2 linked regions of the Medicago truncatula genome follow. The protein of the gene in region 2 binds, or shares a complex with, the protein of the main gene of each other region. Links are inferred from orthologs where the notes say so. Each region holds a gene or a part of one and is shown on either strand. Other genes may lie near its edges.

Region 1 (7,744 bases), on a different chromosome or scaffold from region 2:
ATAAAATAGCCATAAATCGTGAACGATCTTCCACATCAAGAGCTGCAAGAATGCTAAATATAATAGATGAAAAACTACCACTTGATGTCATGTGTGGTCTCTATTTTTAAGTAAACTCATATGTAGAATTCATATTATTGAATAAATTTTTGCAAAAAAGTTTAAAATATTATAAGAATCTTTATTAAAAAATATTAGAAATTTTTTAACGAAACATAAATTAAATATGAATTTTAATATTTTTGGTGGTTAAAAATTCATATTTAATTTATGTTTTGTTGAAAAATTTTAACTTATTTTGAAAGAGATTTTTATAATATTCTACACAATTTTATTAAAAAATAAAAATGGTACGACTTTAAAATAAGGACCAAAATTGATAATTGACAATTTTATACGAGTAAATGTCGAAAGAAATTTTTAGAGAAAATAAAATGAAAATTTGATATATTTATAAGGACCATAAACATATGAGTCATGTTAACCAGTGCCCCGGGACACTAGTTAGGAAAACTAAAAAAAGAAAGTTATAAAGTGAAAATAACACATTTTTATGTTTTTGAGGAATTGACAATGCAAATTTCAATGTAATACTTACTACTACCTCCGTCCCTAATTATAAGACCCTTTTGAGAATTTTTTTGGTCCCGTTTTATAAGATTCATTTGCTATTTCCAACTACATTAGTTATTTATTTACATACCTGCCCCTATTTATTATACATCTTTTTCTTCAATCAGCAAAAAATTGCATATGGAAAACATAAACTAACTCTCTTTCTTAAGGATAAAATTGTAAAAACAATAGTGTGCTCGTGATTTTCGGATATCAAACCATTAATTGATTTGAATCGTTAATCTTTGAACTCTCGATTTTTATTCGTGGGAAGGGAAAAAAATGAGTAAAAACCCTTAAGACTTTGGATTCGGGGGTTGGTTACGCGAAGGGAAGGTGCTAGCACCCTAGGCGTCTATGGTATTTCATAGGAACCTCTTACCTAAATTATCTTGTGCTAAATTGATTTGCTTATTTGAAAATTATTACCTAAAAAAATCTAAGTGAAAGAATGGAGGGAGAAGAAGTATATTTTTGGTTATTTTTATTTGATTTTGAAGGATTAACTCCTTTGCCTATATACCCTTAAAGAAAAGGGATCAAAACCAATGTAGTTCACCTAAAAAATTTCTTTTTGGTGGGTTGGATTGATTTTAACAATTTTGTAAAAAAAGATTTTAAGAAGAGATTAGAGGCCTCAAGGCATGAGAGAAAAATAAGATGAGGTTGGTCAAATTTTAATTACAAGAAAATCAAGTCTAATATGAATATTAAGTCAATTAAGCATTTGATTAAGAAAGTAAAAGGAAAAAAACACTTGGGTTACCAACCAAGGTTTATTAAGAAAATATTTCTGAAGTTTTGCATATTTGATTTTTTTAAACTAACGGTGAAAACTAACGTAACGGCGTAACGTAACAAGAAATAAATGTCAAGTGTCGGTGCATGTGTCGGTACATATTCTCATATGGATATTTACAAGGGACCTATATACATGCTAAAGCCTCAAGAGAAAATAAACGACAAAAACAAAAAAAAAAAATAAAGTGCACAAATTAAATTATATCAATTCCTAAATACATACTAAAAATTAATGACAAGAAATTAAAATATGCATGAAATGATTCTAAATAAAATGCAGATATAAAATAAAACCATAAAAAGAGTAAATAACAATTAAAAAAAATCACAATATTTTTTTTGGAAACTTTGAAGAAAATTTTTTAAACAAAAGAGGTGCAAAAAGTGAAAACAGTGGTGACAATAGGAAAACAATAGTGAATTTTAAAAACAGTGGGCTCAGACTGGACAAATCTAGACCGTCTGATTAATCAGAGGATCCAGATCCAATCACAGGAAAGACTCATCACAGTCACTGGATCAAAGATCCAAGGGTTAAAAAACAGCATAAAGTAGAGAAACAACACAAGAAGCACAGTGACTGTCAGATCAAAGATCTGACGGTTTAAACAGCAGGCACACAGTAGACCGCAGACAGACAAACACGGATGGAACACACAGTAGCCATCAGATTTTAGAACGATCCAGATCTGATGGTTCACAGCGCGAGGGATCACCATAGAACATATACGCGCGTGTAGGAAACAGAGGGAGTATATAAAGGGAGAGACAACAAGGAAACAACACAAAAACATTTATCATTCTAAACTTAGAGAGATTCTCTCTCACTTCTCTCTAAAAACTTTTTCTGGAAAACGGAAGGAGGAAGATGAATCTACATCTTCTCCGGCGAGCTTCGCCGCTCCGGCGCAGTGGTTTGCCGGCCCAACAGGGCGGCGCGCAACAACATGTTATAGATCTGTATTTGAAATCTCAAAAAAAAAAAATCATACTTTTTTCAAAAAAAAACGACGGATCTAGACATCCTTTTCTTTCTTGTTACCAATTTCAAATTTAGTTTTCGAAAATGAACAGCAAGCATGTCTAGATCTACATCTTTTATTTTTTTCAAAAAAAAAAAAAAAGAAACGAATGAAGAAAGAGAACGAAAGAGGAGAATCAGTTACCTCTTTGGATCGGTTAAGATCTGGAGATAAAAGTCTTCGGAAAACTTCAAGTGCCTTCTTCTTCTATTCCTTCACGTGAAGCTTACATTAGATCAAGATTCGTTGTGTTGTTGTAATACCAAAATTGTTGTCGTTTTGAAACGATTTGAGAATCGGTGATGTTGTTCTTGCTCGAAAAATGGTACGATCTTGGTGGTTATATGATGATTCGAGTTGGTTGTTGGGGAATCCGGTTCAAATCTATGGATTTTTGTGATTATTTGTGCTTGCTGGAAAAATCTAGGTTCATATGTTCATGATGATGTTCACGATGAACTTCATGATTTTTTGCAGTTTGATCTGGAAAAGAGAAGAAAGAGAAATTTTTGGTGTTTATAATTAATGCTGCTGAAATCTCTGACGCGTTTGACATTGTGCAGACTTTTTATTGTAAAAAACTAGGGTTTGAGACTGATACATACCAATGACGAAAATGCCCTCTACTGAAACTTGGGCAAAAAGAAACCCTCAGGACCAATAAGAACAGGACACATGGACTTAGACTTAAAGAAATAAAACTAATAAAATAAAAGCAAAATAAAATAAAAAGAAGAAGAAGAAAGTCACTCGTGACTCTTCTTTTTGGAAGGTTAACAAAATAAAAAAATAAAAAGAAATAATAATAAAATTGATAAAATAAAAAGATAAAAATAAAAATAAAAAACTGTTCCTTCGAAACTAAATATGGTACTTTAAAGTAACCTCCCTACCGAAATTTTGATCGAGACGACTAGAAAATACGGACCAACTTTTAGATGTTTATCGTACAAGCGGAAAAAGAAATTTAACTAAAACGGAAAAGGGGAAATTCATTTATATGCGAATACGCGCAAAAAGATTTTAATTACATACCGGTACGGATAAAACTTTAAATGCCTAAAAAACGAACAAAGTGGTTTTTAAACGTACAAAATGCGAACAAAACTTTTAACTACTCAAAAATACGAATAAGAGATTTTCACTACTTAAATCGTGACTAAAAAGGTTTTGACCACTGAAAATTACAAATTAATAACGATGAGCATATTTAACTGATTGAAAAAACGAATGAAAAATATTTTAACCAACCAAAATACGAATAACAACGTTAACTACTTAAAATATGAATAGAAATATTTTGATGAGCTAAGAATATGAATAGAAAGTTTACCTGACTAAAATACGAATGAAAACAAATTGACTATTTTAAAAAGCGGAAAAAATTAATTGGTAAAACTTTAGGGTATGACAAATAGTAATTACAAACAACATTAATACAAATACACACTTTCTTAATTCCCGTAGTTTTAGCAAAAGAGTCTTATTATATATAGGGACAAACGTAGTACATTTGATATCTTAACCAGTGCGCCCCGGGACACCGGTTAACATTTTTCCAAACATATTTAATCCAAATATATACTCCCTCCGTCCCGCATTAGATGACTCATTTGCAGATGTGTAATTTTGACCTAACTTATTTTGACCATATTTTTCTATTAATATACAAAGATAAATAATATCATATAAGATGTCGTTAGATTTGCCTCGATGAGTATTTTCAAAATATCAAATTTTTATAATTTTTTCTAATATATTATTCAAGATATTTAAACTCAAAATTATGCATTGATATGCGTAATAAGGTCAACTGTGTCAAGTATTAAGGGATACAAGGAGTATTTTGTATTATACTCTTCTTGTCTCATGTTAAGTGACACAGTTGACCTTGTCACACATACCAATACATAATTTTAATTTTAAATAACTTCACTAATCTTTTAGAAAAAATTATAAAAATTTGATATTTTAAAAATATTCATTAAGACGAATTCAATGATATCATATATATATATATATATATATATATATATATATATATATATATATATATATATATTCGGGGAGTGGTTATGGTGCATAAGGAAATCCTTATGCACCGTGCATAAATCCCAACATAATTGTTTCCTACACCCCCAAAGTGAGCCAAAACCATTTTTGTTCAAAATAAAAGAAATCTGATAGTTGTGATGTGTTTATGCACGGTGCATAAGGAAATAACTTATGCACCATAACTTTTGCCATATATTCGTACAAAAATACGGAGTTCAATAATACCCATCTTCAAATGGGTGTCATCGTAGGACGGAAGGAGTAATAAAAATGAATAAAATAATAATAAAATTGGGTTTGTAAGAGTAAATAAATGGATAGGATGAAGGAAGAACATAAAAGGATAGAGTTGAGAGAGAGAGAGAGGAAGTTCTCTCTTCTTCAAAATGGCTTCTGCAACTGCTTCTACACTTTCAACTCTCTGTTCTTCTTTCACAACCCATTGCTCAATAAAACCTCATTTCTCTATTTCTCATCAACCTTTCTCTTCTCGTTTTCCTTCTCACAACCTCTCTTTCCAATCCACTTTCTCACAACGCTTGCCTCTGTTACCCGCTCCCAAATCCACTGAATCTTCTGTCGCGCCTGTTGATTCTGATTCTCAAGTATCGGAGTCTGAATCCTCTCAAATTGTTCAGTCTCCTTCATGGGAGAAGGGTCTTTTTGCTGTTGTAATGGTGAGTTTTTAGAGGATTTTTTTTAATGTTGAGTGTGGATTGGGTGACCCTTTTGTTTCAATTGTTCAAAAGTTGCATGCTTTATGTATAATTTTTAATCTAGATTGCTCTATGGGTGAAGGCGACGCAATTGAGTTTGCATATTTTTGGCTCTATGACCATGGTTTTATCTATTTTATATGTTTAGTCATTCATCTGAAATTATTTGTGATTGAAGTATCGCACATTAAAGATTAGGAATGGTTAGTAAAGGACCCCTGGAGTTTGGCCGAATAGTAAGTCAAGTCTGGCCAATGATTGTTCCAACCTATATTTTTGAACTTGGGTTCTCCCGAATGATTCGTCCTTAATTGAATTTATTAATCATCTAAGCTCAATAAATTAGTTAATAAAAAAGTTAGTTTGGATGTTTAAACTGTTTTTTGTATTGTTGGACTACTTCCAGTTTGTTGGGTTGGTAAATAGGTATTTGCTGTTTATTGTTTTGGGGTCTCTGTCTCAAATTTTATGTTCTGTTCTTTTGCTTTTTAATATTTTCTTGTGTTGTTTTGTTTAGATTGGTGGGCGCCAATATATTGTTCATCCTGGCCGCTGGCTTGTTGTTCAGAGGCTCAAAGGTGCCAACGTTAACGACAAGGTATACAACTTGTTTGTTCTTAAATTCTGCCATTTGACATGTTCCACTTATTCATTTTTGGTCTTTTAGTTATGCAGTATTCGTTAAACTCATTATTTTGTTCTATATGTGATTGTTAACATCACCAACCTTTGTTAACATCACCAACCTATTATCACCATTTGCTTTGCACCCTAAACATTGCCTCTAAAATTGCTACCATTTATTAAGTAATGTTAGCTTGCTCATACAATATATTTAAAACTATGGTCGGCCTAGGTATGATGCGAGTGCTTCCTGCTCCCTTTCTGGTTTCGTGAAATTGACTATCATTAATGACCTGAACTATGGGTAGGACCTATAAATATAATATAAAAGGGTTCAATGCAAAAGTAAGTTATAAGAAACTAGGCCTAAAGAGGTATTTTAACCATATGATGTGAGAAATGAATGATTGAAATTATAACCATTGGTTTTCAAACCAATGATTATAATTTGTCACTTTTCCCTTTGAAGCGATTTCTTCCTTTTCCATTATCTGAACATCTGCTGTTATTTTCAAAGCGTTTTTTTATGCACTGTACATTAATTTTAACTCTTGGAATTGTAGATCGCCCTGCATAAGGTTTTACTGGTTGGAACAGATACATCCTGCTACATTGGCAAACCAGTGGTAACAAATGCTGTGGTATATGCGACAGTGGAAGAGCAGGTACTCTTCATTCTCTCTGCTTTTGTTCTCCTGTTAGGAAAAGCTAAAAGTAAAATACATCTCCTACCTTAACCATTTTGTTTTAATGCAGGGTTTAGACAACAAAGTAATTGTATTCAAATACAAAAGAAAGAAGAAGTATCGTAGAACTATTGGACACAGACAGGTATATTAGCTATCCTTTTACTTTGCAATCCAATTATTTATCAAAACTTTGCGCGATTGAAATGTCTATATGTGGCTTGGGAATTAATTCTTATGAGCGAATTATCTTACCCTTAAACTTTCTGAATGGAGCTTAGAAATATGGGAATCCATGTTGTATATATGATGAATGTATGCCTGTAGGCACATGAGGCTTCCATGTCATTTTTTATGAATATTTAGTTTACCAGAATTTGATGCTTGATTTGGTTTTCAACTTGTGACAGCCAAATACACGCATCCGGATAAATAGCATTATGGGCTATGAGGACTACCCAAAAGTTACCATGGACGATATAAATTTGGAATCATCATGAACATTTTGTGCGCTATGCGAGTATTGTATCTTCTTTCATCTATAATAACTATTAGCAATCAATTTGCCATGGTTAGTTTTGCTTTTATCATGGATGGAGTTGTTTGAATGTTTATGTAGCTATTGTATGTCATTGTAATCTTTTGTTTCCAAATACATTGCTATTTTCCAGTCTCCAATTATCACTCCAATTCCTACTATGAAGAGCCTGTTTACTTTGAATGTTACTTTTTCAGTTCTCTTTACCTTGCATAGAAAGATTTGTTGGAACAAATTTAATTTGAAAATGTTAATCATTTTTTATTGGTCCCTTTCATCTAATCGGAGGAGCAAGCATATCATATATTTTGAAGTATTTTGTTTTTTAAGTACACAAGCAAATTATAGTCACTCCTTGGACCGGATACCCGAGTTTCCAAAAAAAGAAGAGTACAAGCAATTACGTTTTCATCTTTAATTCTAAAATACGTTGAGATATTGAATTTACTTAAATCTAAGGTTAAGTATATTTTTATCTACTAAATGTTCACTGTCGTGAACATTTTTATTTAACATCTGATGTAGGAGAAATTCTTGTATAGTCACAAACCCAAATTGAAGTTATTTAGGCACACACTCATAAAATACATATCATTTAATTATTTTAAAAATACATATTATTTAATTATTTTCTCTTTCATACTTTTTAAATTCATGTGAGTGTGTCTAGATGAGTTTTATTTATGT
Region 2 (7,679 bases):
CGAGTATGAAAATTGAAGAAAAATGAAGAGAAATGAACCTAAAATATTAATAGTCCAACTAGCCAAATAATTTAGAAAACAATAGAAATCAGAAAGCAAGCAAGATCTGCATGATCATCATACAACCATATAATAACGTGATTGATGGCAACATGAAAACATCCACATCTTTTACAAAAAGAATCAATAATATTACATTACATCTGAACGAAACAAGGGGTACAACACAATCTATCTTCTGATTACAACCTTAGTTCATTATTATCTCTGATCTTGCATGAATAAAAATGAGTTTACTTCTTTGCTCTGTCTCCTCTACCCTTTGATTTTGGATCAAAATGATGAGATTTCAACTTCTTTTTGCGAACTATTTGGGTAACTTCAACTCCCTCTCTGAAGGGCATACCCATGAGAGCCAATAATTTTTGTCCTTCTTGATCAGTTTTAGCAGTTGTTGAGATGCAGATATCCATTCCTCTAGGTGTACCAATACCAGATTTCAGCTCTGGGAACACAGTTTGGTCCTTAATACCAATGTTGTAATTTCCATTCCCGTCAAAGCTGCTGATATTCACACCTTGAAAATCTCTTGTCCTAGGAAGTCCTAAGTTGATAACACGGTCTAGGAATGAGTACATTATCTGTCAAAATATCAACCAATAGGTATTAGATTTTGGGTTCAGCTATATAAAAACAAAGAAAGTTGCAAAGCATGTATAATATATTTGTATGGTTTTAAAATACAGGCCGTGACCGCGGGTGTGGACGCAAGATCAAGGTTTTTCATGTGATGTCTCCACAACCATGTTTGACCTCAATTTTCTACAGTCTCAAAGATCACAAAGAAACCACAGCCGCTAACAGATATTTAAAATCTTGTGTTAGAATATGAGCCTAAAGTAATGCAAAATACTATAATTTGAAGAAGTTCAAAATGAAACCAGATTCACATACATTGCCATGTATAATCTTTTTTTTTTTGGCAACATGGAAACTCTATCAATGTCTCATTCAGTAAATTCCTGGTATGCACTCTTTTTAAACACAAATTGTTGAAAAACACATACACAGAAGAAAAAAATCCAAACTAACTAAACTTTTGACTTCTGAAGTACCGTTCTCATGATAAAAGAGAATAATTTTACACGCTTTGTTTTGGTATGTGGAAAATAATGCTTCGTATGTAAACATATTCTATTACAAAAATAATATTTGATTACTGGAATGCATATATTATGTCAACAAAGAATATTCCCAACTCCAAAAACTTTACATGTGATCCAAAGATGCATTATACTAGACAAGTTAACAAACAGTAGCCACATGTCTCGGAGTGGTGTCCTTGAAGCACCTCAGCGCTTATCAGAGTTCATTACACCAATGCATCTAACTATACCAGCAAATTAACTAGAATCTAACAATATCATTATTCATGATACCGACATTGTTCTAAATACAAAATAGCATCAAAAATGGGAAAATGTCAAGCAATTAAACTAAATAATGATCTCATGTTTACAAAATATATTCACTAGGCAAGGCAATATCAATTGAATACGAAGTACTCACTTTTCCTCTGAGTGTCACAGCAATCCCAAGTGGTTGACCTTCCCTGATCTTGAAGGTGGCAACGGAATTCCTCGCCCGAGTCTTAACAGGTCTCTGCCCAGTGATCAGTGCTAGATCAAGTATTGCTGCATCCAAACCTTTTGCATTTTGTGCAGCTTCTCCAATACCACAGTTTACCACAATCTTCTTAACTTTAGGCACCTGAAAAGAGGGAAAAACAATATTCAGCATTGCAAAATTTGATAGATAAAATAATCTTAGAGTAAATACTCAAGTTGGTACTCGAAATTAAAGGGTTCTACTAATGTTCTATCAATTTAGTCTTCATATTATTAATATTCTTAAATGATCTTTAGAATTGCAATATGTTGAACAAATCCATCCCTCTCTATAGACATGTTATCAAACGTATCTCTGACCTTATTCACTTAATTTCAAATTCATCCCCGATTTATCAACTTAATGTCATTCTAGTCCCTACAAATACCAACGGAGAGAAAAAATTGATTAAACTTTGCATTTTCAAAAATTCATTTTGGAATATCTATAATATGAGGGACTTAATTGATACAGTTAAAATTGATTCTAGAGGTGTAGAATCAATTCTGACATGTTTTGCTTTCGCCTGCCAAATTGATTCTACTTAAAGAGAGGATTCGTGGCTTTTAATTCTAGAATTGATTACACACAGACTTATATAGTTCAACTCACTTACACGAATCTATCCAAACACAAATCACTTTACCTTCAACCCATTTTAGTCAAAATCAATCACTCAAAACCAAGTCTTGTCAACACAGAACCAAACATACACTTAATGCCAATCAACGGAGGGACACATTTGATTAAAATTTGCATTTTCAAATATCATTTTGGAATATCCATAATAATGTGAGGGACTAAATTGATACATGCAGTTATAATTTCATTCTAAATCCAAATATCTAAAAAAAACCATCACACCAAAACCAAAAAAGACTCAAACTTTAACCCACAAACCCAACAAAAACACAAAATCAAACAATTTAAACAAATACCCATTACAAAAAAAAAAAAAAAAGGTCCAAATTTCAGAAAAACCAACCTGATGAATATTAGTGTAAGAGAATTCTTCCATAAGCAAAGGAACAATTTTGTCATTGTAAGTTGTTTTGAGTCTATAAACAGTCTCTGCTTCAGATTTCTCAACCAAAACAGCACCAGAAGCATCAGCTTTCACAGACACCACTCTGTTGTTTCCATGACATAACAACGAAGAGGAAGAAAATTGAGTTGGTAAAGCTCGAAATTGAGAGAGAAAGGAAGAGGCAGAAGAGTGTAGAAGAGAAGGGGTTGTAGCCATTGTTGTGGATTGAGCAATGCTCGCTACGAGAGGGATATGGATAGCGTTGGTTGGTTAAAGTACTGTGTTACAAAGTGCCCTTGTGTTTGAGGGTAAATTTTTTGGCAAAGTGAGTGGGACAAGAATGGATAAGGGGTTGAAAATAAAACTGTAAATGCTCAAAAGGAAGAAAGAAAAAAAAATTGCTTGGAATTTGGAACCAACAAAAACCTTAGAAATCAAAACTATAAAAAATGTATTTTTATAGATAAATGATAGCATATATTTTCAATAAAGTAACTTATTTCAGGACAGAGGTAATATTTTAAGATAGTACATCTCTTTGTGATGAGATAGAAAGGATGATGAACTCCTTTCATTAGGGATTTAGAAAGAATGGGTGGTGTGACATTAATTGGTTGTGATGGGATAAGCTCACTCTTCACAAAAGTTTAGGAGGTCTAGGCTTCCAGAACGTATAAGCTTTTAACTTTTCTATTTTTGGTAAGCAAAGTTAAAAACTCTTATCCGAGTCAACCTCTTTACCATCAAGGATCTTGGAAGCTAAATATTTTTCGAGAAGGGATTTTTTGGATGCCAACCTAGGTCATAATCCAAGTTATACAAGGAGCAATATATGGAGTACAAAACCTTTACTTACCTTGGGCCATAGATGGACGATTAGTGATGATTCTCAAATTAATGTGTGGAGTATGCCTTGGATTCACAACCTTCCTACTCGCAAATCGATTAGCTTGCAATTAGTGCACCATGAGGATGTTACCGTTAATTATTTGTTGAATCCGGGTGAAATTCTTCGGACATTCCTTTGGTACAGTCAATGTTCAACCCTTCAGATGTTGCATCAATCCTTTCCATGTCTTCCTTCACTTGTGAATATGTTGTCAAGCTCATATGGAAGGCTACTACTGATGGTTCATACACACGTTAAACCCGCTTATCGCATATTTTTCGAACTTATCACCGCTACCTTTACTACTACAGGTGAAAATTGTTGGAACTCTATATGGAAAGTGTAAATTCCACCGCGTGTCTGTGCCTTTCTATGGTGTTCAACACAACATTGCTTGCCCACTCGAGCAAACCTCATTTTCCGTGGAATTCCTTGTGAAGACTCATGTGTATCATGCGATCAATTGACAGAAAGTCAAATGCACATTTTCTTTGTTTGTCTAAAAGCGATCAGTTGTTAGGAGTTTATCGATGTCCACCACATCATCCAAGATTTACTCCTTAATTTCAACAACTTTGCATTTATGTTATTTGATTTAATTGAGAGGTTGTCTCCACATCAGAAAGCTCATGTTGTAATTACCCTTTGGAGCTTGTGGAAAGGTCGTAATGTTTAGCTTTAGGAATCCATGGATAACTCTCTCTTTATATATAAACACTAGTGCAAAGGGCACACTAAATGAATGGAGTTGTATGCAAAAAACAAAGGCACCGATACACAATACAAATTATGAGTTTAGGGTTGAAAATTCAAAGTTGAGGAAATTACTGAATCGTGACTAAGTGACTTAGTGGTAGAACCCACTATCTATTTTATGTGTCTATCTCTCTCCAAATTGTGTATTCCAATATAGTAACAAAATTATCAATGATCGACAAACATATATGAATAATTCCTTAAAAAAAACATGAATGAATAAAATGAGTTATAATCATCTTTCATTTCACATATAATTAGTTGTCCTATTATATATCTGAATTGTCATGTAGTTTTTATTTTATTTTTAGAGAGAATAGTTTTATATAGTTCTAAATAGTGAGTACTTATAATGACTTTTAAAATAATGGTAAGGAATTTGAAGAAATAAGCAAACTTTAACTAGTCGGTTCTAATTTTTTAAGAGACAAACTCCGACTTCTTTGTAAGTTTTATTTCTCCATCACTCAAGAGAGGGAGGTGGTTTTGGGTTATTTTTTGGCCTAAAAATCACCCTTATGAATCTTTTTTTCTTCCTTATCTTAATCTAAATAAGTGGTTTTTACATAGATTTCATTTTTTCTTTTTGTGTTTTTCTCGTGATTTCGTTGTCTCAATGCGGCGTTGTGTTGTTTGTCGTCTTGTGCGGTATTGCTTGATTTTTTGTCTTTGTGGTGTTCGATTGATTCTTAGTGAAAGATCGACATCAATCAGTTACAAATTCAATATGATTTGGATGTCAACATTAGTGATATAGAGACATGAGTATTTCATATTTTATCATATTATTTGTAGGTATTTTTTCATTGTACGTAATCAACTTGAATGTTGTGAGTTTGTTCATAGATTTATCATTTACGTTTTTAACGATGTGAAATATGTAGTTGCATTTGACGTACTTTGTTAATTTGAATGAATACATATCATTTTGTTATAAAAAAGTGACTTTCGCAATGTCACACCATGCTTATGCACTCAAGCATATTTTCCTCAATTTAGCAACTTTTATAAAACTCAATTCTTTTATTTTTTTTTCCTCAACTTTGAATTTGATGATACAGTAATTTATTTAAGTTATTTCAACCATTACTTTGGTATCCACACTACTACATCACGATTCCTCCGATGAAGAAAGAGAAAAAAATAAAAAAATGTTCATCATTCTATGAAACACGTAAATACCTCAATTGGAGATGCTTTAAGTGATTAATTCTGAGTAAAAAAGAGAATAACGATTAATTTTTATATATCCAATATAAAGAGAATATCAAATAGTTTTTCTCCTAAAAAAAATATTTAAATAAATTTATTAATCTAACGCCTACACAAATATGACCACTATATTAATAAGAAAAATCAAAAGAGTTGAAAGTATTATCCGAATTAAATGATGATAATTAAATCATTAAAGATACATACACGAAATAAAATATAATCGAACATTATAACGTGTATGTAAATAGAAGATGTTTCAATTCAAAATAAAGACGATCTTATATTCAAAAGAATTTTATATATAAAGATATCAATTGCGTTTGAACTCAAAACCTAATAAGAAAAACTTAAAATTTATTTTTTAAAAAGAAACTTAAAATGTAGTAATTGTTATCTTCTTACTGTTAGATCAAAATTAAGAATTAAGATTTAGATAAATACGAATTTTTAATCTAATCTAACTTACAAATTATTTAAAACCATAGGTTACATTGCTACTTGCTCTAGATAATAATAAGTCCATAATAGCAACAATCTCTCTCTACTTTCTCTCTCTTCAAATCCCTTCTCGCTCACTCCCTCGTCCTCAATCCCGATCCATCTCTGCAAAATCACCCCCAAATTCTCGATTTCACGCTTTTCCCTTCATTGATTCTCTCTTTAACCTTCGATCCGCATCGTTAATCTTTACAATTTCAAAACCCTAGTTTTCTTTCCTTTTTCAATTTTGTATTTTTATCGCACAAACCCTCAATATTTGTCATCCCTTAGATTTTTCTCGGACCTAAATTTCATGGGTATTCCACAAGTTTTTGAATTGAATCTCTATTTCCTTTGAATCTGTGTTCTAGGACGGTTTTGTGTATATACCAATCTTTACGTTTCATTCGGGAATTTCATTGAAGGAGAGAGTAGTTTTTTCAATTTTTTTGGTGGTGGTTATTGCTAGATTTTCGTAAAGGTTGAAGCTTTAGAGGGTTTTGGATGATGGGTCTTGTTGATTGAGCTGGATCAGTGACTGGGATTGGTTCTAGGTTTTGAAATTTTCATACAAGTGCTTTTAGAATTGAATTATGAATAAGCAGTGATTGTTGGACTTAGAGTTGAAGTTGGTCAAAATTTCAAAATTTGAGCATATGTTATGAATTATATGTTTGATGCTGACTAGGGCTCTTTAAGGATTGCAGTAACACTCGGCATTGTTCATCGATTTGATATATTTGACATTGGTTAACAACTTTGTTTAGCATCAAGTATTGTGTGGAGGGAACGCAATGGATTTTGAAAACGAAGATCAGAGCTTGTTGGATCAAGCAACTGATAGTGGATTGCAAAAGTAACCTTCTATCTTGTTTGATTAGCTTGTTGTATTTATTTTTTACAATGTTTTAATTTGAAATTTGATGCATGTTATAACACCTATTTGTTGGTGGTTGTTCAGGAAGTTGAAAATTTCATACACAAGAGAGTTTTTGCTATCGTTTAGTGGATTGGATATTTGCAAAGAGTTTCCAAGTGGGTTTGATCGGTCACTTTTAAGGTATAGTATGCTATATCGGTGGACCGCTGCATTTAATTTTTCCTTATTATATATATATATATATATATATATATATATATATATATATATATATATATATATATAGTCAATTTATGCTCTTTCACTTATGTGTTATGCCTTTTTTTGTATGGAAAACAGTGAATTTGAAGACGCTTCACTGGATAGACAGAGAAGTACCGGTGCTCTGTCAACACATAGTTTCAGACGTAATGAATACAGTTCATCCCCTCCAACCAGAGGGGATATGAATAACTTTTCGCGGGGAACCCATGGAAAATGGGATTCTCGCTCTTCTGGACGTTCAGATAGAGACGGTGATTCTCAATCAGAATGGGATTCAGGTGTTTACGTTTGACCGACAAAAATACTCGTTTTCTTTTTAATTTTTAAAATACAGTAGATCTAAATGCCTTTACAAATATTTGGATAAACATTGAATTCTTCTGTGCCTGTCTTTTTAATGGGTGTTCGGGTAGCAGTTTATTGCAAGTCAAGGTTTATGTTGATCTATTATTGTCAATGTCAATTTACAGATTCTGGAAAACGTTTTGGCAACCAGCCTC

The links.
Region 1: 50S ribosomal protein L5, chloroplastic (region 2) and 50S ribosomal protein L21, chloroplastic share a complex: the UniProt entries of both Arabidopsis thaliana proteins name them as parts of the 50S ribosomal subunit. The link is inferred for Medicago truncatula from reciprocal best matches to the Arabidopsis thaliana genes AT4G01310 and RPL21C.

The regions. Positions count from the first base shown.
Region 1 is NC_053042.1:47,104,929-47,112,672, reverse strand, and holds 50S ribosomal protein L21, chloroplastic, read left to right. Parts: upstream 1-4,815; 5' UTR 4,816-4,879; coding exon 4,880-5,170; intron 5,171-5,726; coding exon 5,727-5,807; intron 5,808-6,396; coding exon 6,397-6,498; intron 6,499-6,589; coding exon 6,590-6,664; intron 6,665-6,929; coding exon 6,930-7,019; 3' UTR 7,020-7,240; downstream 7,241-7,744. UniProt on the Arabidopsis thaliana protein: This protein binds to 23S ribosomal RNA in the presence of protein L20.
Region 2 is NC_053048.1:36,603,911-36,611,589, forward strand, and holds 50S ribosomal protein L5, chloroplastic, read right to left. Parts: upstream 3,022-7,679; 5' UTR 2,912-3,021; coding exon 2,654-2,911; intron 1,771-2,653; coding exon 1,570-1,770; intron 642-1,569; coding exon 294-641; 3' UTR 60-293; downstream 1-59. Other genes in the region: uncharacterized protein, read left to right, coding at 6,830-6,891, 6,997-7,095, 7,255-7,457, 7,650-7,679. UniProt on the Arabidopsis thaliana protein: Binds 5S rRNA, forms part of the central protuberance of the 50S subunit.